Linked DNA regions of Neodiprion lecontei. The protein of the gene in region 1 interacts with the protein of each later gene in a biochemical or structural test. Links are inferred from orthologs where the notes say so. Each region holds a gene or a part of one and is shown in the gene's direction. Other genes may lie near its edges.

Evidence for each region.
Region 2: the proteins of asparagine synthetase domain-containing protein CG17486 (region 1) and beta-1-syntrophin interact in a test that uses a peptide from one of them, tested with the Homo sapiens proteins (2 studies listed by IntAct, with this or other methods). The link is inferred for Neodiprion lecontei from reciprocal best matches to the Homo sapiens genes ASNSD1 and SNTB1.

Annotation. Positions count from the first base shown.
Region 1 is NC_060261.1:24,798,369-24,809,088, forward strand, and holds the start of asparagine synthetase domain-containing protein CG17486, read left to right. Parts: upstream 1-4,829; 5' UTR 4,830-5,037; coding exon 5,038-5,118; intron 5,119-5,612; exon of another isoform or gene 5,613-6,742; intron 6,743-6,898; exon of another isoform or gene 6,899-7,204; intron 7,205-7,547; coding exon 7,548-7,754; intron 7,755-9,010; coding exon 9,011-9,922; intron 9,923-10,720.
Region 2 is NC_060263.1:19,319,280-19,329,532, reverse strand, and holds the start of beta-1-syntrophin, read left to right. Parts: upstream 1-5,179; 5' UTR 5,180-5,516; coding exon 5,517-5,618; intron 5,619-9,100; coding exon 9,101-9,647; intron 9,648-10,253. Other genes in the region: purine nucleoside phosphorylase, read left to right, coding at 186-409. UniProt on the Homo sapiens protein: Adapter protein that binds to and probably organizes the subcellular localization of a variety of membrane proteins. May link various receptors to the actin cytoskeleton and the dystrophin glycoprotein complex.

The DNA of each region.
Region 1 (10,720 bases):
CTTTTAGAGTACCGGGTACTGTGGGGATTTTTCCGTCGATTTCGGGTCTTAATCCGCGCAGAAAAGCGGCTTTGCCGTCCGCTTCGGTATTTCGCGTAAAAATTTCGAAATCATCTTTACGTTGTTCTTGCAAGAATGCCTGTCTTATATTTTCCATCGCTTCGCGTACCCTTGATGCGTACGTCACGACGTCTTCATTCAGTCTTTGGAAAATTTTCCCTAGTTCACCCTGACACAGATTAACGGATTTGGCTGGTCCATAAAGCTCATTTATTCGCGCGGTTAATTTGTCTACGGTATCGAACCGTTCGTTCTCGATCACACGTCGAGCTACTCCCTTGATTTTATCACGTATTATTCGCGCGAGGCTTAATTCGACTTGAGGCGGAACCATTTCGCGTGCATCCTTGCATCCCTGCACAAAACTTCTAACCTGGGACGGATTGCCGTCAAACACCGGGACTGCCTCTAAGGCATCCTTAATTGAGATATAATGATAAGTCGGTGCGGGTAAGGCGGTTGCGCCTGTACTTGCAACGGGTTCGCTCACCATTTTAAATTCCTGAGGAATCTTAATATGTGTTTGGGATTGGTTTTCCGAATCAGGCGTTTGAATAAGTATTTGAGTGGGTTTTTCTGTTTTTCTCGAGTTCTCCGGAGAATTTTTATTCGTTGGATTAGAATTTTCGTTGGAGATTTGTGACTGTTTGGGAGTGAGACTTGAGTTTCCCGACGCGTTCGTCTCCTCTAAATTTTCTAATTGCCCTTCAAATAATTGGGTGCCCTGCGTACTAACTTGTGATCTAAGTCGTCGGTCTGAAGGCGGAGTATGTACTACGGCTGAGCGTTTTTATCGACAGGAGGGTCTTCCTTTCCCATTTAATGTTGGGATTGCACAATCGGATTTATTTGCTTATAACTGGGTTGGAAGTGGGGATTAATTGTTCGGGATTCGTATAATAGCGACAATTCCGGGGACTGCTGAGACGAAAGAGAGACAGGACAGGTTTGATAGCGGGGAGCTTGAGAGTAATAAAAAAAAAATATTTCTGACTCGTTTTTATGAATATGGATAACGAGTTGGGGTGCTGTGATGTTCTGAACAACTCTCCTTATTTTATGGGTTCCCGATCAATAACCGATGCGTATGTGATGACTGAATTTGAATTTTTGTTAATAAGGTTTATTTTAACTTTTAGATTCCGTGTCGGAGGAAAAGGAGGTGGAAATCGTTGGAAGTTTGAACGTGAGGTATTCAGAAATAATTTTTGCCTTTTTCCTAATCTTTGCGTCTTCTTCGCTAATCGTTCTGGGTCGCGTTGGGGGCTCGAACAGCTTATTTCTTTCTTTTATTCGTTCTTCTGTATCTCCCGTGTAATAGCAAATATCTTCAGAAGTTCCGATGGTATGGTTAGAATTCAGCGGTTTATTGAGATATCAGACCTTTACAGAGTCCGGGATTTCGTGCGGATCGTTTAATATAATCGGCTGAGTATATTGTTCCTAAAGCTTTGCTATGGTTCCGCGTTTCCTTCCGTTTATTTCGTTCGATTTTGGGAGCATTCGTTATGAGAACAAAGGGTATTTGTCAGAGGTTTCGATTAAAGGTTGGAATCTTGGTTCGACAGAGTATTTCGATGAAAACAAGGGATCTCAGTGACACGAGATCCCAGTAGGTGCGATATTGAAGAAATATTTGAATGGAAAATTTCCAGAGCGGATGGAAAAATTCTTGACTGACTCATTGATTTTTAGAATTTTGGCGAGTTAACGGGTATTAAAATTCAGGTTTGTTGAGTTATTTTATTAAATCGAGCGAGATTAGGATGATTTTCAGTTCGTGTCGGTAGCGCGCAAAACTTCCGCCGTCCGTCGGTCGCTACTCGCGTCACAAAAAGTTTTTCGCGATTATAACGTTTGGTTTCCCGGCCGATGCACCAAAAAAAAATTTTATATGTGACGTCGGAACGGTACCTGGTGGAAATTTCCAGATGTTAGACACCGGAATCATTCACACAGCCACAGTTAGACTCACATCAGTAGTTTGGGTCACCAATTACCGATAAAGTATTGAAATACACCGGACAACGGGCATTCTGTCGCTCTAATCGAACGAACCGAGGAAGGAGTAATTATTGGATAAAAAATTTAATTAATTGGCTTACCTCTTGAGAATACTCTGGATATGATGACTTACAGCGTAGATTGGTGAGAGGATTTAACGGAATAACTGATTCTAATATATTTGGATACTTTGATTAACTTGGATTTATTTTACAAGTTCAATATTTCAAGTCACAAAAACGGAGTTACTTAGTGTAAGATCTTAAATTAATATGACAAAATGGAGCTGAAAGCTCGCTGGACTTTTGGGCAGAGTAACGTTGTATGAAAAGTTTAAATGCAAAAGGCAAAAGGATTTTACCGCGAGACTGTACCGGAACAAGATGACGAATCTGGTGGTAGAAACCAAGAAGACGATCGGGTGATCGGTGGCCGTTTTTATAGGGGTCGATCGTTGCGCAGAACGATCCCCTTCTTTAGATTTTGTCACCTTTTGCGCACCTTCCCCTTTCTCTAGGAATTCTAATTAGGACACGATCTCCTCGCCGCATGCACGCCTGTGATCTTAGTTCATTAGCTATTACTATATTGCAAGTTTTTACATATGGTATAACGCTGCACTGGTGCGGTGATGTAGGTGCGGGGTCGTTGTTCTGTAATTTTCCATTCTGCGTGGGCTTTGTTGTTGGGGCGCAAGCCCCCCTTGGCCCCTCGGCTACTGTGCTTCTTCCCCCGTCTTGTGCTATTGGCAGCTATTTCCTAATATAGTAATCGCAGTGCGTATGCGCTAGTGGTGACTCATGTTTTATGTTAGTGCCGTGTGCATTTTCAGGGTCACGATGCGCTTAATTCTAGTTCCTGTTTACTTCTTAATATTTTTACTATCTTGCTCGTTACAAAGTCCATATGTCATATTGGTCACTCGTCGTTTGTTAGTTTTATAGCGTGTATCTATATAAAATTACATATGTATTATAATTGATTACTGTCGGTATTCACCTGGAGTACAATAGCGATTTTTTATGAGACATAGTTGCTATTTGCTTAACATTATTAAAATCGCGCTGCTGCGAATATTCTTAGGTGTTTGTGTTATAATTATCTTAACAGATTTAGGGTATTTAACAATTTGATAATCCATAATTTTAGAGCAGGTTTACATGTGTGCTTTCGTATATAATTCTCTTCTGTAATTATTAATTCTTATATTGATATAAATCGGCTTGGAAGCTTCTAGAACGTTTTTCTTATGTTTGTTGGTTGCCTGTCATTGGGCGTTGCCACGTATGCATCTTTGAGTTTATTACGAGTTGATTTACCTTCAATCGTTTCGTCGGTAAGTTTCCTAATGTGTTCTCTAGATGAAGCTCTGTATGGCTCCACATTGGAGATCTGCATTGCCTTCAAAACGTTGCTCGTGTTGCCTTCAATACGGCGTTACGGAGGAAGGTATAGTTCATGCTGGATAATTAGTATTCACGGTTTTGAAGGTTTTGCAGTCTCTGGTTTTATGGGTTATTGCAGCAGTGCTATCTTTACATTATATTGGTTATATATTTATCTATGGTTTTACAGTTTTCTATACTCCAGGCTATATGGTATGGCGTAAGTTGCTTATAGTTGGTATGTTCCGATATACACTGCGAGCACTGTAAGGTGTGTCGTCAATTTAGTATACTGCCAAGCCGTTCCTGTATAGTTAGCTATACTGGTTACTGCTTAAAACGGAACGCAGTACAGTATACTGTGATCGACATTTTTTGGCGTTAATTTCATTTCATACATAATATTTGTTTCACATTGCAATAAACACAATTTATTCAAATTTTCCATTTTTGTTTTTAACGGCCGATATTTTTAAATGACAATATTCAATAATAATAATTATCAATAGTGGAAGCTGTTCAATTTCTGAACGCTGTTGATCACGTGATCAAAGCACTGAGAGCACCTTACCTCGAAAGCACCAGTGTTCACAGTAGAAAAATGGCGACGATTTATGACGTCATATATTTCCCTAGGATGCTGCGACTGTATACTGTCCGTCTATAACGGAACGAATTTCTCCCCAGTAAGAGCACTGAACAGTGCTCGCAGTGTATATCGAAACATACCCAGTATAGCTCTCAGCTCCGAATGCACAAATGGCATTGTCGAGTGCTATATAATAATTGGATATAATCGTGTTAGTTAATTATGGTGTTAATATGATAGTGATATATAATAACGTATAATAATATTATATCTCTTTGTAGTGCGAAGATCTCGTAACATGGTTTTTAAGCTTTGGTTAGTGAATGTCATAGTTATTTCCATCTAGGGATATTCCAAATAGTTAGTCAGTTGTTTTAATTCCTTATGGTTACAAGATTCTCGTACTTCGAGTTTGGTTAGTTGATAAAAGTAAGATGCAGTAATAATAGTCGATAAAACATACGGATGTTCCGGTCGGATGTTACAGGTCTATGCGTACTAGGGCCTTGTTCGTAAATTGACTGAGAGTACTCAAAATTCCCTAGGACAGAGTCAGAGCTATCCACGAACTTGGAAGCGCAAAAGAGATAAAAGATTGCTGACAGTACTGTCAGTCAATTTTCGAACACGGCCTAAGTAGGCCTCTCCTTCACTAGCGCTAGCGGCGAAAATTCACAACATTGGCTTCATTTTCGAGCACGTTTTTATAGTCGGAGTTCCCAGACCTGTCTATTAAGACCGTGCTTATAACCAAAGAGTATAGGGAGTATAGTAACGTAGCAAGCAGCCAATGAGAGCGTTTTGCTGTTGCCACATCCCAGCTGTTTGCTGCACGTGAGAAAACAGCTTAAAGCATTAGAGCATATACTGTGTATGTATATATGCTCTAAGATACCGCCACGGCGATAGAAGAGACGCTGATTACCCTAGTTTGTAACGCGATTTGCGGTTCGGTTCAAGCGTGTAGTTAGGTTAGTGTTAGGTGAACTTGACAGACCAATGTGTGGAATATATTGTTCGGTGTCTCGTAGAGACCAGAATGATGTTTCAAAGGCAGGAATTGACTCGAAAAGCACTGAGGTATTTGTTTTTTCACGTCTTCACGCCACGCAAATTCATTTCCAACAAATTTTACCACTACTTACCTCCCAGTATTTGCCGAAGGCACATGACAACGTACACACGATAGTTTGAATTTTTGAATCGGGCATCTAGAAACTTTCAAATTCCACATAAGAGAGAGAAACTAACGAATCTGTTTAATCGAATTGCTGGTCATAAAAAAAACCCATGATCGGATATACACATGTAAAATCTACAGAGCTGATGGAAATAAAGCTTATTGTCAGTAGCCAAACATGCTAAACTTTCTTTAAGCAAGACGAAGCGAATTTGTTTTTCATTTGTCATTCTATCAAAGTTTTAATTTTATATGAGTTTTCACCAAATTGTAACCATTGTACTTCATCGTGTTGTTTTAAATAATATCTAGCTAGGTTTAGCATTACACTTGGCGGGGGGCTTTGGTAACACAACAAATGTTAGCCAATTAATTTTATTCACTGTAATATATAAAACTACTCAGAATTACATGGCTACCAATGTATTCCACATAGAAATCTGTGACCGAAACTGATAGGAGATTTGTTATTTGCTCATTACAGTTATTGAAAAATTGGTTAATCTGACAGCATCTGTAGGTTGTGAACAGAGCTGGCGGATCGACATGCACTTGGCAGTTGTCCTGCTACAGCTATCTTATAGGGCGTTAGCCAGAGTCACGCCGTATATTAACATATTTTAAGGAATATTCATGATCTTATTCAAATGTTACTTTCTACATTTAACCCTGTGTGGTCTCAATGTAATTTAGCTATTTCCGCAGTCACACTGGGTGCGCCGTCCATGTACAGTTGTCAACGTGTTAAATTGCTTAAGAACTTCTAAAAAAATACATGAATACTCTTGAATCTTTCTAAAATCGAACCCATAATTATTTGAGTACAAAAGTTATTGTATCTTATATTATGCATTAGTATCTGAACGAAAACGCCAGAAAACCATGTTTTGGCCTCAATTTCAAGAAGTAAAAAATGTGCTATACTGAACAACAAATTACCATGGATTGTTGTCATGGACACCCTAATGTTCAAGAATAATTGAGTTTGGATCGTTTCTGCCCCAAACTATAATTATTGGATAGCTTGGAAATGCACAATTTCAAAGAGATGCAAATTAATGATTTTTATGAAAAATAAATCGAACAACATTTTTTATTGCAAAAATAATATTATCTTTAAGCAAACACGAAATTAGAAATGAAAACTAACACTAAGTAAAAAAAAAATGAATTGCTCTTTTGGAAAAGAATGCTTATACCTGTTGTTTGGACATAAAGAAATCAGTCAATTAAGACATTGATTTACACATTTTAATGCACCATTAGAAGTCTTTTAAATAAAAAAAAGATCAAAAAGACTTTTAAATCCCAAGTTTTACTCAGACGGCGGTTGCACGGGGTCGTTTTTGTCCCCTCAAGTTTAAACCGCTGTAGCTCAAGAACAAATGGGTGGAGGACGGCCAGAACTTACCTGTACGAAGTTTTTTTGGAAATGGAAGCTGCGCCTTATTCCTTTTCGGTTTGTCGGGAATTCCCAAGTATAACTCTGCTTGGGACAAATTGACCTAGTGTGATTGCCCAGGAGTAATTGCAAACAATTTAATTTTGGTGAAATTGCACAAATATAAATATTTTTGGAATATTGAATAGTTTAATTAAATTTGAGTTTATTTTTGCAATGCAAAAACTCAAGTTAAACTAACTTAAAAATTAAAAAATTAAAATAATTAACCAGGAGGAGTGTTGAATACATGGTAGTACCGCTTTTCCAAGACAGAATGCAGATCATGAGATTTGTGCCTTATACTTACATTAATTATTTCACTCGGTGCCATGTTTTGCGGTATACACGGAATCTTAAAAATGGCTCAACCAATTTATTTCAACTTTGGAAACAGTGTAATTGGACAGTTTATCCTCAACATCACGACCTTTTTGTCTCGGTAGCATAATTGTGCCCATTTTAAGTTGAAATTCTATTTTTCAGCCAATATCTAACTTTTTTATTGCCTTAACAAAAAAAGAAAAAAGAAGACTAGTACAAAGGTGAGATCGTGGTAAAGTGAATAAGCTATTTGAAAATAGTTTCCTCAAATGTGAAATAAATTGGTTGTACTATTTTAGAAATATCGTAGATACTACAAAACATGTCTTGGAACGAAATAGTTGACGTTATTGTCGATAGCAATGCTACCTATCAATAGATTCCAATGAAAAACTCATTAAATCAAGCTTGATCTATATATTTTTGAATAAAAGACACCCGAATTAATTTGTATAATTGCTCGTGAATACTTGAATTCCCTAATTCACCCGCTTATTCACCCGTCTTCTCATTCATACCTCCTTATTGTGAGACAATTGGTATTATATAGAATAATTATTTCAGTGGACAAAGTGCAAAGGTGCAATGAATGCCAGAGGTCCTGATGGAACTTCGGAACTATTCCGAAGATTAGCCAAACAGTGGGACGGCCATTTTGCAGCGAGCATTTTATGGATGCAAGGAAGCAACCCTGTCATGCAGCCATGTACAGATTCTGATGTTAATGGTAATGTCCTACTGTGGAATGGAGATGTTTTTAATGGAAGTTTGGTGAGTGAACACATTAGCAAATCAAGAAGTTTTGTGAAAGTATGAAGCCTTTTGTTCTGAATTCTATTTCCACTGTTTCCATGACTGGAATATTTGCAGTAAAAAGAAACTGCAAAATTATTTGTCAATATCATATGTTGTTCCCGACACAGGATAAAGGGCATCATGCGTTTATAACTAGCCCACACTCTGTTCTTGAACAAGATTATTATACTAATGAACAATAAAAAAAAAAAATGCTATAACATCTCATATTTATTAAACTTGCTTATACTGAAACCTCCAAGTAGTTCTTCCTACCAAAGAGATTTGGTAATATTTTCTGTAACAATGTGTTGTACTTGTTTTCAAAATTTATTAACAATCAGCTGATGGCAATTAACCCTCTGAAGCATACATTTTTCCTTGCAGTCAAATTTCTTAAAGCTCGGTACATTAGGGTTCGCCACATTGCTGATTTCAAAAATGTGGTCAAATCTGACAAATTTTCAAAATTCAAAATGGTGGATCTAATATGAGTGAATAGGATCAATTTTTATGATTTCAGTCCGCCATCTTGAATTTTGCAATTCCGACATCGGATTCGTTTTCAGTGTCGCCAAAAACCCTCGAACTAACAAATTTCAAGCCAGCATGATCAATTTTTATCTTTTCCTAGACTGCCATATTGGATCCGCTATTCTGAATTTTCAAATTTTGATATCGGATTAACGAGTTCCACTTTGCTGGTTCCCACAGCCTTCCCACAACTACATTTATTCTGTAAAAACAAGCATTTTCAAAACTGTTTATTTATAGTGCTCATTGTATTCGTGGAATCATCATAACCCCTCTTAAAACATCAACATTGACATCTTAGAAGACAAATTAGGCAAAAAAAATGACAGTGATATCTCAAAAATTGAATATAAATCTTGAATAACCAATTCATAAAAGGTGTCTCATATGTAAGATGCTGTGCCACAAAGGGTTAAGTCGGGGAAAAACAAGAAATCACTCAAAATTGGACAACAACATTAGTCGCAAATTACTAACCTAGACAAAAATTCCAAAATTTTATCTTCACTGTTTCCTTAATTGTCCGAGATAATATGGTAACTTTCGGGGAATTGAATCATTTTAATCGCATATTATACTAGGTGAAGAAAATTTGGCAATGATGTATGCCAAGGTACACGTCTCAATGTGTTGCTCAGAACATTTTTTGTAAAATGTACCAAAATTATGTCACACAAAAAATCCATTCCTTTCTTTAGGCAAGCGATACAGAGTGTGATACAACGACACTGCTAAAAAGGTTCAGTTCTTCCCAAAATGTTGTCGCAACACTGTTGGAGGTCCAGGGACCTTATAGTTTTATATACTTCAATAAGTCAGACAATTGTTTGTACTTTGGGCGAGATTCGATCGGTAGACACAGTCTATTAATAAAATTGAACGAGGACAAGACTTTGCTGACATTGTGCTCTGTTGGGAATAAAAATGTGAAAAATATGACAGAGGTACCAGCAATTGGAATATTTGTAACAAACTTAAACTGTGAAGAGTTCAATTTGACTTGTTATCCATGGAAAGAACCAAATCTTAGGTTCACAGATATTATTGAAGATCTTGAGACAAGTTTGAACATGGATATTGATGTAAAAGAAACCATTGTCAAACCAGAAATTGATAATTCAATTCTATATCTCGATCCAGAGATCAAAGATGTCCAATATCTCAAAAACATTGATTACAATCAAAATTTCAGTCAAATAATGGAACAGCTATTAGAAAACAAGGAAGTATACCAAAGAGTGGAAAACATTTTAAGGTTTCTGAGAAGTTCTGTCGAAGTTAGAGTTAGAAAAAAACCTAACTACTGCAGGAATTGTATAAGCTTGTATCTGAATGGTGAAGAAGTAAACTGCAAGCATGCCAAAATTGGTATACTTTTCTCGGGTGGATTGGATTCTGCAATTTTAGCTGTTATCGCTAATCAATTTGTCCCAGAAAATGAAGAAATTGATTTAATTAACGTTGCTTTTGAGAAAATAAAGAATCCAAATTCAAATTGCACAAAGGAAGCTGCCACTATCAATTACGATGTACCTGACAGAAAAACAGGCAAACAAACTTTTACTGAACTTGAAAGGATTTGTCCTAATAGAAGGTGGAACTTTATACAGGTTTGTTAGTTAATTAGTAAAAGTATTTTAAAAGGTTACAGGACTCTTGAAAAACAAAGCGAAATGCCATATGTAACAAAAAATTACAAATTGATGAAATGAAGTACCGGACCTATCTAGTTTCGAATTGACATTCCGATGAGTAGGTGTATTTAGTCCAGTCAAATAGAACTTGAAAATGACAAAACGGATTAAAAAGCCAAATTTTTTAGGGCAAGTAGAGGGTCATCTGAGATGCCCAAAAACACCAAAATCCAACAAAATTTCCTTGTGCATCGGCCGCCATCTTGAACAACAGATAATCCTCGATATCTCGGCTCCCATTGGTCGGATTTTCGATTTTTTTTTAGTTTTTTAGAAAAAAATATTGTCTACAACTTTTATTGGAAGAATATTTTCATAGCGGTGAATGAAAACGTTTTACAATAAAAAAAAGTGCCATAAATTGATGTCTAATAATGTTTATTGTCAATTATATTGCCCCCTTTAGATGTTATCGATAAATTTTTCATATAAAAGTTGTAGGGGACTAAATTCTGAATAATTTATGTCTTTACGATTTTGCGATTACTCGAATATTACTTGAGATAGAGAGCGTCAAAGTTGTCTCTGTCCGCATTCTATCTGCAAAGCTTACGGACTAATTTGACTGGACTAATTACACAGTATCTATATTATTTTATCTGAGAGAATTGGATACATACAAAAGGTATGTTCGATTACTTGGTATTTATAGGAATAATTTAATTATGTCTATACTCGGCCAAAATCTGATCTTTGTGCTTACATTCAAATCAA
Region 2 (10,253 bases), on another chromosome or scaffold:
TTGATGATCACGAAGCCATTCAAAGTCCACGAACCTTTTCGAACTATCTAAAACGTCCTAAAGTCTCTTGAAACGAATTTGTCGTTTGAAATCACGAAAGAACTATTGAAAATGTTTTCAGTATCAGTGTTTGGATTATTGGCGTGATGACAGATTTTTATTTATTTTTTTTTTGTACCTTTCAGGCATGTCGACGGTTCACGAGGTCATAATGGCCCGGCACTGCGACATGACGGTCTTCGCCTTCAGTCTGATAACGAACAAATCGCCAACGGACTACGAGGAGAACCACGAGGCGAATCACGAGGAGGTGATAGACGTTGGAAAGTCGCGTCAACCGCTCCTCCAGGAGTTCGTCTCGCGGATGGTTGTCCACGTGGCGAAGGAGTTCGACTTGGATGGCAAATGAGTCCTGCAGGCCATCCTCCCGATTTCCTCATGCTCATCCGTTCGGTGCCAAGGGACCGCCGATATCCAGGGTTAATTCTTCCGAGTGTGACATCTCAGACGCCGGAAGCACCCTCATCTGGAAAATTTTGCAGGGATGGATATTGGCGGAAAATTTAACACTTCTCCCGGGATACTGTTTTTAGCCACTTGATCTAGGCGAATTTACACGTTGTGTCGTCAAGTTTCGAGAAGCAGCTTGCAAATTTGTCCTGATTTTCGTTATTCGAAAACACCGAACGGAAAAATACTCAAAGGTTTTTATCAACGATTGCAGAATCTTTAAAAGTCTATCATGTATTTTCTCTCATTGTTGCAGTTTCATACTAAAGTTCGAGAAAAATACTTTACCCGCAGTTGTTTGATTTTTACGTTGTTTTTATTTTGCATACTGTATTTTTCACTCTTTCTATTTATTAGGTATTTATTCATCGATATAATTAAGTAGATGTAATAATTAGGATAGGTGACGGATGAGATCAACGAATTCACTAGCGACATTTTGGGAGCTTAATTTATTCCTTAGTCGAGAGGTGTGTTCATGAAATTCCGCGACAATTGGATCTGGGGAAATTTTTCAATTTTTATCCCCCCGAACTGTCGTTCCGATTTCTACTACACGAAAAACATTTACTTCTTCTTGTTTGTTATTTTATTCACCTGTGCGATAAAATATAGTTCTTAAATAACTGTGTTGCTATATTGTATCAAGCTTCAACTCGAAGGAAGAAGAAATAAAATGAACGAAATATCAATGCGAAAGAAAAATCGCAGATAATTGAAAGCCCGTTCGAAGTTAATCCTCTTGACCTGGTTTTCCCGACCTACTATAATAACATCGTCAACGTCCCAAACACTTGTAGCTATTATAGCCCGAGAAAGTCTCACGATTCTAGAGTTCCTGTGCAATACACTATTTCGTTTCCATCTATTCCTCTTATATTTTCTTCCGACAATATTGTTTTACACTTATTTTTTACCCCCTGATATGAAAACCAATCCGCTTTGCAGGTCGTGATAATATTTTTTTTTAATTTCAATTTCTTGTATATACGTATAGGTATAGTAGTTCAAAGATATTGATTGTACAGATAGAAATGTAACAGCATTAGGAGTACGTATATACATGATGTATGTGCGCGAAAATATATACAGTTATACATGCATGTACAACTCACGTGGGTTACTCTTATCGCTTGTAATCTTCTTTAATTCATATCTTAAACCAAAAAAAAAAAAAAAAAAAATAGAGGGGGAAAGTGAGAGTTAGACAGAAAAAAAAAAAATAGAAAACATGCTTGCCGTTTTCCCGCCGTATTTTAAAGGATGCGGATCGCAGGTGATGGAGCACAAGCGGATTATTCCCTCGCCGACTCATTTGTTAATTACGCCTGACGGTAAATGAGCGTTGCTCGTTTTATGACCAGTTTACCACCCTCTCGTGTTATAATCTTTTTATATATTACGTATATGGGGTATTCCGCGCCAACTCAATAAACGATTGACCGTCAAATTTTTCAATATCGTGAAGAATTTTTTCTATCTTAATACGACGCCTGAACATCTTCCAAAGAAATTTACATTTCGAATGATCGTTGTTCGAAAGTATTTTTATAAAATACTTTCAACTGTTTATAAATGTTGAACGAAAAATTTGATCGCAAAACTTAAAAAATTGAAATTACTATCAATGAAATGCATTTTGTTAGTAAAAATAGTTGAATAATTTTGTTTGACAGCGTTTTTGTACTGCGTGTGATCGAATATTGGATCGTAAATTATTAAAAAGCCGAATTTCAATTAAATCTTTGAGGGTACACTTGAGGGGATATTGTGCTGCTAATTGGAATTTTCCTGGAATTGAATAGTACATCTCTATAATTCGGGGAACTAGCGATTGATTAAGCCCAAAATAATTTATACATGTATATGCAAGCTTGTGTTCCGTTTCCGGAAGAAATGAATCACGAATTCCCGTTCTCAGGTTCAAACTTAATCCGAAGCGTCTATTCAGCAGTAATTAAGCTTGGGCTCCAGAGACTATAAGAACACATAATAAAATTACACAGGGGCGCGCTCTGAGTAGCGAAGTTTGCATTTTTTTCTTATAATGGATCGGAGCGTCGATCTTGAGCAAAGAGAGAAAAATAAATAGAGAAAGAATAAAAAAGGAAAAAACAAAAAAAGAGAGAAATTTCTAGATTGCAGCTGACAATGGGCAGGCAACGGCGAATAAAGTATATAGGAAGAAAAATTACGTTATATCCGCATCACTTTAACCCGTAAGACTGCCGGCTTTATGTACACGATCGATCATTTCTGGCTGTCACACTTGACGAGCCATTACTCAAAATTTTATCCTGCAGCCTGTTACTCCTAATAATAATATTATTCTTTCACGGTTCATTACGCCGAGCATGTACAGCGTTTTTTCTTTTATTACTTTATTTTTCCGCTCTCCGCTCTTAACTCGTTTTTTCCTCACCGCAGGCAAACGGACTGTCCATAAGTGTATCTTGTCGCATATCAACAGGAGCGTCGCCGGTTCAAGGGTATTGCTGCCACACTGCACAAAACAACTTGGGAATTATATTTTGGATTTTTCCAGGATTACGTTCCTGGGAGATTTGTCGGAGTGTCAGTGAAGGGAGAAAGTCGTGTTTTATACATTCGTTCGGTTTAGAATTTCACAAAATCCGCTCTAATTTTGGAAAATCATAGTCTTTGCCACTCTGCTTGTGTAGTATTTGAGAAAAGTGGTAAAAAATTGATGCGAAAAGAAAAAAAGCATAGTGAAACACGGTACCCAGATATCAATAGCGTATAATCTCAAAGTATAGAGTGAAAATTTGACATAAGTACACTCGATCTTTTGATTAATTTTCTGAATTTCTTTCAGCGACGACACTGAAGTACAATTGTAAACAATCCACTTTCCCGAAGTTTGAAACGATTATTTCGTAACTCTATAAAAGAGAAGTAAACTGTAAAATACGAGTTGCGCAGCTTGAAGTTAGCCCCAGGTGCCGTAATCGCTAGTTCAGTGGCACTTTCGAACACATTGCAAAAAGGTCGATAGCCGTATTTCGGATTTTTTTCAGGACAGCTGCCTTCACGACAAATTTCCGTATCGTACAAATCAGAAAATCGTATTACAAACTCTTCTTATTTCTGATCAATAATAAATTGATTTAAAATTTTGTTAAATCGTAACCCGTCATCTTGCCTAATCGGTAATCGAGAATCTGATGTATGTAAGTATATCAATCGCTTCATCGAATTTTCCGAACTCCTTGGCCGACTACTAATTGAAAATGATATAATTTCGCTAAGTTTGGAACGATCTCGTTTCTCCGTGCATTAGAAAACTGTAAACTACGAATTACACGTCTTGATTAAATCCGTGACTGTGAGCAGTCGCATTCCTATCACCTCCGGTGTAAAAACCCTGGTGTGGAATTTTGGGGGCGGGAAGTTCGAAAAAGCCGTTAGGTCGAGTCGATAGCGAGCGGCAAAGGAGGGGGGACGTCGAAAGGTGGAAGGTGTCGAGAGGGAGGGGGGTGCGAGAGAGACAGCGCGGCGCAACAAGTGCGGATACGATCCGCGAGGGTCGCTGGCGTCGAGGGTCGCCGGTATTCGGCGTCGGGTTCACCGGCGGGTAACGAGCGATTCGAACGCCGGTAGCTCGTGCCGCCCTCGAGATTCCGGCTCAGTCTGGCGCTGATCGCGTCGGTGAAACGTGTTCGGTTGTCATTCGTTTGGGCGGCGATTTTGCGTCGCGGTTACTTTAAACGCGTTGAGCGATGCTCGAGTGGAATTCTCCCGTGTAGTGAGTAAACCGGCCTCTCAGAATCGCCCGAACTCGTCCGAGGCGTGTTGTAAACTGGGATTAGGAACGGATCGGCGCGGCCGAGTGGCAAGTGGTAAACAACGCGAAGTCGGCGACGAGTGAAAGTCGGCGATTAACAGCGCCGAGTGTGTTTATTTTTTTTTTTTCTTGTGAAAAAGGCCTGTGAGTGTGTGTGTGTGCAAGTTCGTGAAGTGCTTCGGACGGTGTGTGAGAAACTTAAAGCCCGCCAAAACCAGGGATATCGGGGAATTTCGAACGGTCGGCGATGCTCAGTTGTCGGGCTGCCGGGTTCGGACGCCTTGAAGTTAGCCCCTGATCGTCGATTGTTTTGTAACAAACACGTTGATCGTTGATAGCCGGACGCGTACCGAGCTCTCCGTTATTATCGGCAATTCTTATCGTCACAGTTTTGGTTAAAGGTGGAAAGGAAACTACGGGGAACTGAGATAAACGAAGCTAGAAGCTAGAAGCTAGAAGTCGAAAACAAGATAGACGGATGGTGAATAAGTAAACAGGTGAAAAACGCGTTCGCGTTCTTTTATTTTTCTCAATCTATTTTCTCGCTCGCCTTTCTTTTCCAAGTTTTATATCTGCAAAATTACTGTTAATTGATTGATTCCTAAGAACGAATCGGTGCGTCGCCATCCTTCAAAGTTTATCATTGTAGTAGAAATAATTCGTAGCGTGCGGTGGCGCATTTTAGCCTCGAAAGAATAATAGTAATTGCGGGTCATTGCGGAGTGAATCTAAGACGAGGATTGATTCGTTATTCTGCTTGAAATGTGCAATTGAGTAACTCTCACAATATTTATAAATAAATTATTGCGAGACTCCGGACACGGATATTCGGCGTAATAATTATTGTGTCTGCGGTAGCCGGAATCCGACGACTGGAGTTTGTTATTACCGAAATGTCGCTGACACTGCACTTTGCCTCAATTTCCTGTGAAAGAAGAAGAAAAGAAATCAACAACATAGATCGTAACGATAAAAATAGCAATAATAATAATAATAACAACAACAACAAGGGTAATCGTGGCAAGTGAATGAAGAATTATCGTTAATTCTTGTTCGCCTCTTGTAGTCATGGATTAGCAGTAATCAGTTTTTTCTCTCAGCCTCGAATTTCGTAATACCCCGTGTACTTGATTGAAGAGTGGTGACGTAGAATCAGAGAACCGGCGGGTTTTTCGAAAAATTGGACAAAAACTATGCACGAATGATTGAACAACAGAAGGGAGAAAGAGAACATTTTTACGAAAATTCAAATAGGCTAATCGACAAGAACGTCATATATATGCCAATACACGCCCATAAATCGGTAATATATAATAATTAACAAAATATCACTATTCACGTATAATCAATATCGTATTACATTGCAGATTAGTGAGAAAGGGTTATAAATTTGCGAAAGATTAGACAACGAGGAGGAAAAAAAAGAGTGAAAAAGCAAAAAAACCTTACACGAATACCAACACTTTGAACTACACGTACATTAAACACGTTATTTTTATTATATCACACGCATCGTTACATAGTTGTGTCCTTGATTAAGTTTGCCCGGTTGCATAACGAATCGATCTCAGTAACTTACGTTGGTAATAACGTTGCCTTTTTTTCTTGTACGAGGTAATTGAGTTATTATTATTTATCATTATTATTATTATTATTGTCGTTGTTGTTATTATTGTTGTTGTAACATTTATTCTTATTTCATTCTAATTGTCGGTGATAGGATTTTTTTATCTCCACTTTTCTTTCTTTTTTCACGTATATTTTATGTCGATACGTATTATATTTCATTATATATTGTGTATGCCTTACGTTCACCTTTCGTTTTAGCTGCAGTTTCATATACGTTTTTCACGCAATGTATGTATGTACCTATTATACGTACACGCGTATATATATATATATCTAGTTGAAATCCGGTGAATTACATAACTCGAGTTAATTTACCAGAACTTTATTCTTGTTTGTGAAATATCCTGCTCTTTTATATTGCGAATTAACGATCGGTTCAATTCAGCGTTAAACAGCAGCATGCTGATTGTATGATGTATAAATTTTGTAACTAATTGCTGAATTCAGTGTTTCCAAGTAGCAAATAATTGTTGACGACTCAATTTCAATGGCAAACACATCGCCACCGTTGTACGAAATATAACCGGAAAAGTTTTAATTATACCTGCGAGGCACACACACGTGTACAATATACCTGTGTATATAGGTGTGTTAGATAGTTGTCACGCAGGAATTTAAGGGGACTCCGGTATAATATAATGAGAGTGTTAACTTTGACAAATGAGGGGGAAGATTATGTACGGAGGTTCGTTAGTTTTCTAATTAGACTCTTTTATCTTATAAATAGTTCGGTTACTTTTTTGTATTTTTATTCTTATTCTCCGTTTGTTTGTTTTTTCAAACTGACGGAAAAATAGAATTCTTCTTACTGTCAGCTGTTGTTAGTCAATTTAAAAAGCTCATATGAAAATCTGTCGCAATAAATCGGGTTCCGGTTTTTTTCAATATATTATTGTACAAGATGTACAAGAAATCGCCGAAAACTGTATGATTATTTATGTATCATCCTCTGACATTTGTCTGAAAAATAGTTTTTTTCGCTGAATAACTGTACACCCTGTACGTATGTAATTCTCCTAACATTCGTGAAGTTAGCAATTGTACAACTATTATACTTTATATACAGTTATTTGCACTAAATGATTCTATCCGCGTTCTAATTCGTTCAATTATATCTCGTTTGTTCTCTTTCGTCCCACGTTTTTTTCTATTTTCCTTCTGCTTCTTTTTTTTTTTGCCTCTTCTCTTCTCTTAATTCTCTCACGCTTATTTCGTCGCAAGATTTACGCGGGGATTTTTGGATTTTTGTTTTTCTTCCACGTTGGTTTTATTTTCTTTCTTTTATCCTATGCGCAGTATGTACAATTGTACACGTATATACGTATCGAGGGTGAAGTTTTCTGCAAGCAGTGACGCAGCATCATCAGGCAACAGAAGCCAGCAGCGCACGTGGCGGGCAGCAGCGTTCGTTCAATTCGTTCGAAAACTCGTTGGTCGGTTCGTTACCTCCTTGGGAAACTCTCATCCCCTCTCTTACATTTTTCTTTCTCTCGTGTATTCATGTATATGTATACGGGGCATTCCATGACATGTCGATCAAGATTCTACTTCGATGCCTCAGATTGGCTTTATAATTTTTTTCTATGGAAGTACACGACGAAAAACGCGATCGCAATTTTTTTCAGAATTTTTCGACCCAGCGTATCTGAAGTATAATTTAAAAACTTGAAAAACAAACTTAACTATCGAAAATCTGAACAAATTCATAAAAAATCCGGAAAATATCTACTCGGAGAGATATTATAATGAGCTTGTACGTCAATTCTTGTGTCGAAAATGCAATGTAATAGCAGTATTTTTTTTTTCATTTTTATTATTCATTTCTCGACGTTATGAAATCTCCAACTTTTAATAGGTGTCAAAAATTTTGTTACATTTTACAAGATTTTTCAGATTTTAGAAAGTGGGGTTTCTGCTTTTTCAAATTTTTAAATCATAATTCAGATACGCTGGGTCGGAAATTCTAAAAAAAAAATTACAATCGCGTTTTTCGTCGTGTACTTTTATACGAAAAAACTATAAAGTCAATCTGAGACATCGACGTAGAATCTTGATCGAGATGTCACGGAATGCCCCATATACCTACACACCAATCTCTTGTCTTTTCTTTTCTCTCCACTTCCTTTTTCGTTTTTCGCATTTACTTCAATACACCTATACCTTTCTATCTCGTTGCCGTCAATATTTTTCACTACTTTTATCATAATTTTTTTAAATCGTGCCTTTTATATTCATGAACTTTCACCTATACCTTTATATAAACCGAACATCTGACCTTAAATTCTTATAATTGCATTCGCAAGTAAAGTTTACGCTATATATAAGATGCTTATTCTGTGTGGAGTCGTTAAAATTGTTTTTCCGGTTCGTGATTTTTTAAAATAATTTTTATATATTTTTAATAATTATCACGTATGCTTTTTTAACCTCAAAAGATACAAAAATTAACACACAAGTTATACACTAAACATACAAATTGGAATATCGAATACGAATCGTATTACATGTACCTACGTGTATAAATAATATTCTGTGTATCTATTATCCAGTTCACCAAAAGAATTGATACGAAGCATAATAATCTACCGAAGGCAATTTATTCAAATATTTCGTAAATAGATTCGTCGATCGGTGTAGATAATGCAATATATAGCTGCGGTTTGAAATCTTTACGGTACGAAATTGCAGGGCGTATTGACCGTGGGCGCAATTTTATATCCTCGATTGTTTTCTGTTTTCGATACGGTTTTTCACAGCGGCATGAGAACCACTGCACGAGCTGCAACGTCGTGGATAAATCGAGATGTATCTAACCTCAAATGTCGATGACACGCGGTGGTTCTCTCAGTACTGTAAAACCACACCGAAAAAAACAATTGAGGGTATAACTTTTTTCCCACGAGCAATACCAACGCCCTAAAATTTCTCATACCGTTTAAATTGACCCTGTTCATAATTCGTCACAATTTCGATCAGCAAAAAAAGTACAGTATCTTTATTTGAAAAAATTGAAACTCATGTACCGGAAAGGTAAAAAACGAGAATCACAATTTCGAAGATTTAACACGACAGTTAGATCGACAATGAGCAGCATAACCCTTTTTTGCGTTTTTACCGACGGTCGGTAATGCGTTGAATCTTTTTTTTCGTGTTTAGCGGGTCCAGCAGACATTCGAGGAAATCGAAATGGTTGAGTTGAACAGCGCGGGAAGCGGCGGGGGCGGTCAGGGGGTTGTGACCGGAAGTTCGGGCGTCGGTGCGGGGGTGGGAAGAGCGGGGGTGATGGAGACGCAGGTGCGGGGTCAGTGGTACAGAGTGTTCGTGTCGTTGGAGGACGATTACCTGAGTATAACGCTCGACGAGAGCTGCGAGAACGCGAGTTCCCTCAATGGCAACATAAACAACAACAACATAGACAGTCTGAACGATCCCGACGTACCGGACAGCGTTGCTAACCAGAAACGCGTCGTACGCGTCGTAAAGAGCGACAACAACGGGCTCGGCATATCGATAAAGGGCGGCAAGGAGAACAAGATGCCCATTCTTATATCGAAGATATTCAAGGGCATGGCCGCGGACGCCACCGAGCAACTCTACGTCGGCGACGCCATACTCGCCGTCAACGGCGAGGACCTCAGGGAAGCGACTCACGACGAGGCCGTCAAAGCTCTGAAGCGCGCCGGAAAGGTCGTCGAGCTTGAAGGTGAGCGGAAGTCACGTTTTCGCCTTTCGAGGTTGGAGTTGGTTACGTTGACGTAACGAAAATAAAACTTTTCCGAATACTTGTGCTTGTTTGTTAGGGTGAGCCAAAAAAAAAAAAAAACTAACCTATCGAACTTGTGGTCTTGAAAGGAACCCGTTTATTGAGAAGAAACAATTGTACCGTTGGGGAAAATTTTTTTTGCTCAATTTTGGAAGGTGTCGCTGACCATTTGAAATTTTACGTTTGAATTACGCGCGAGAAAATTTTGCTTCGTTAAAAATTCTATGACCTTTGAACCGTTTGAGATGGAATAATTTTTCACGCATATTCTTGCAGGGCATTAAATTCTCTCAACAAGGAACCCGGAGTTGATTTTTTATACTCAATAATTCGTAGCCGTGAAAGTCGAAGAAAAGCGGAACTTTTTTTTTCAAAATAACTCCATTGAAATAAGTATTTTTATATCTTTCAAACGGGTAATCTAGTAAATTCACGCTTACTTCGTTGGTACGAAGATGCACACTTTTAGGATGTGCGTGACAGTCTCAGAAATAAATGTCTGTAATTCCTTCAGAACTGTTGTTTCGAAATTCTTAGGCACCGTAA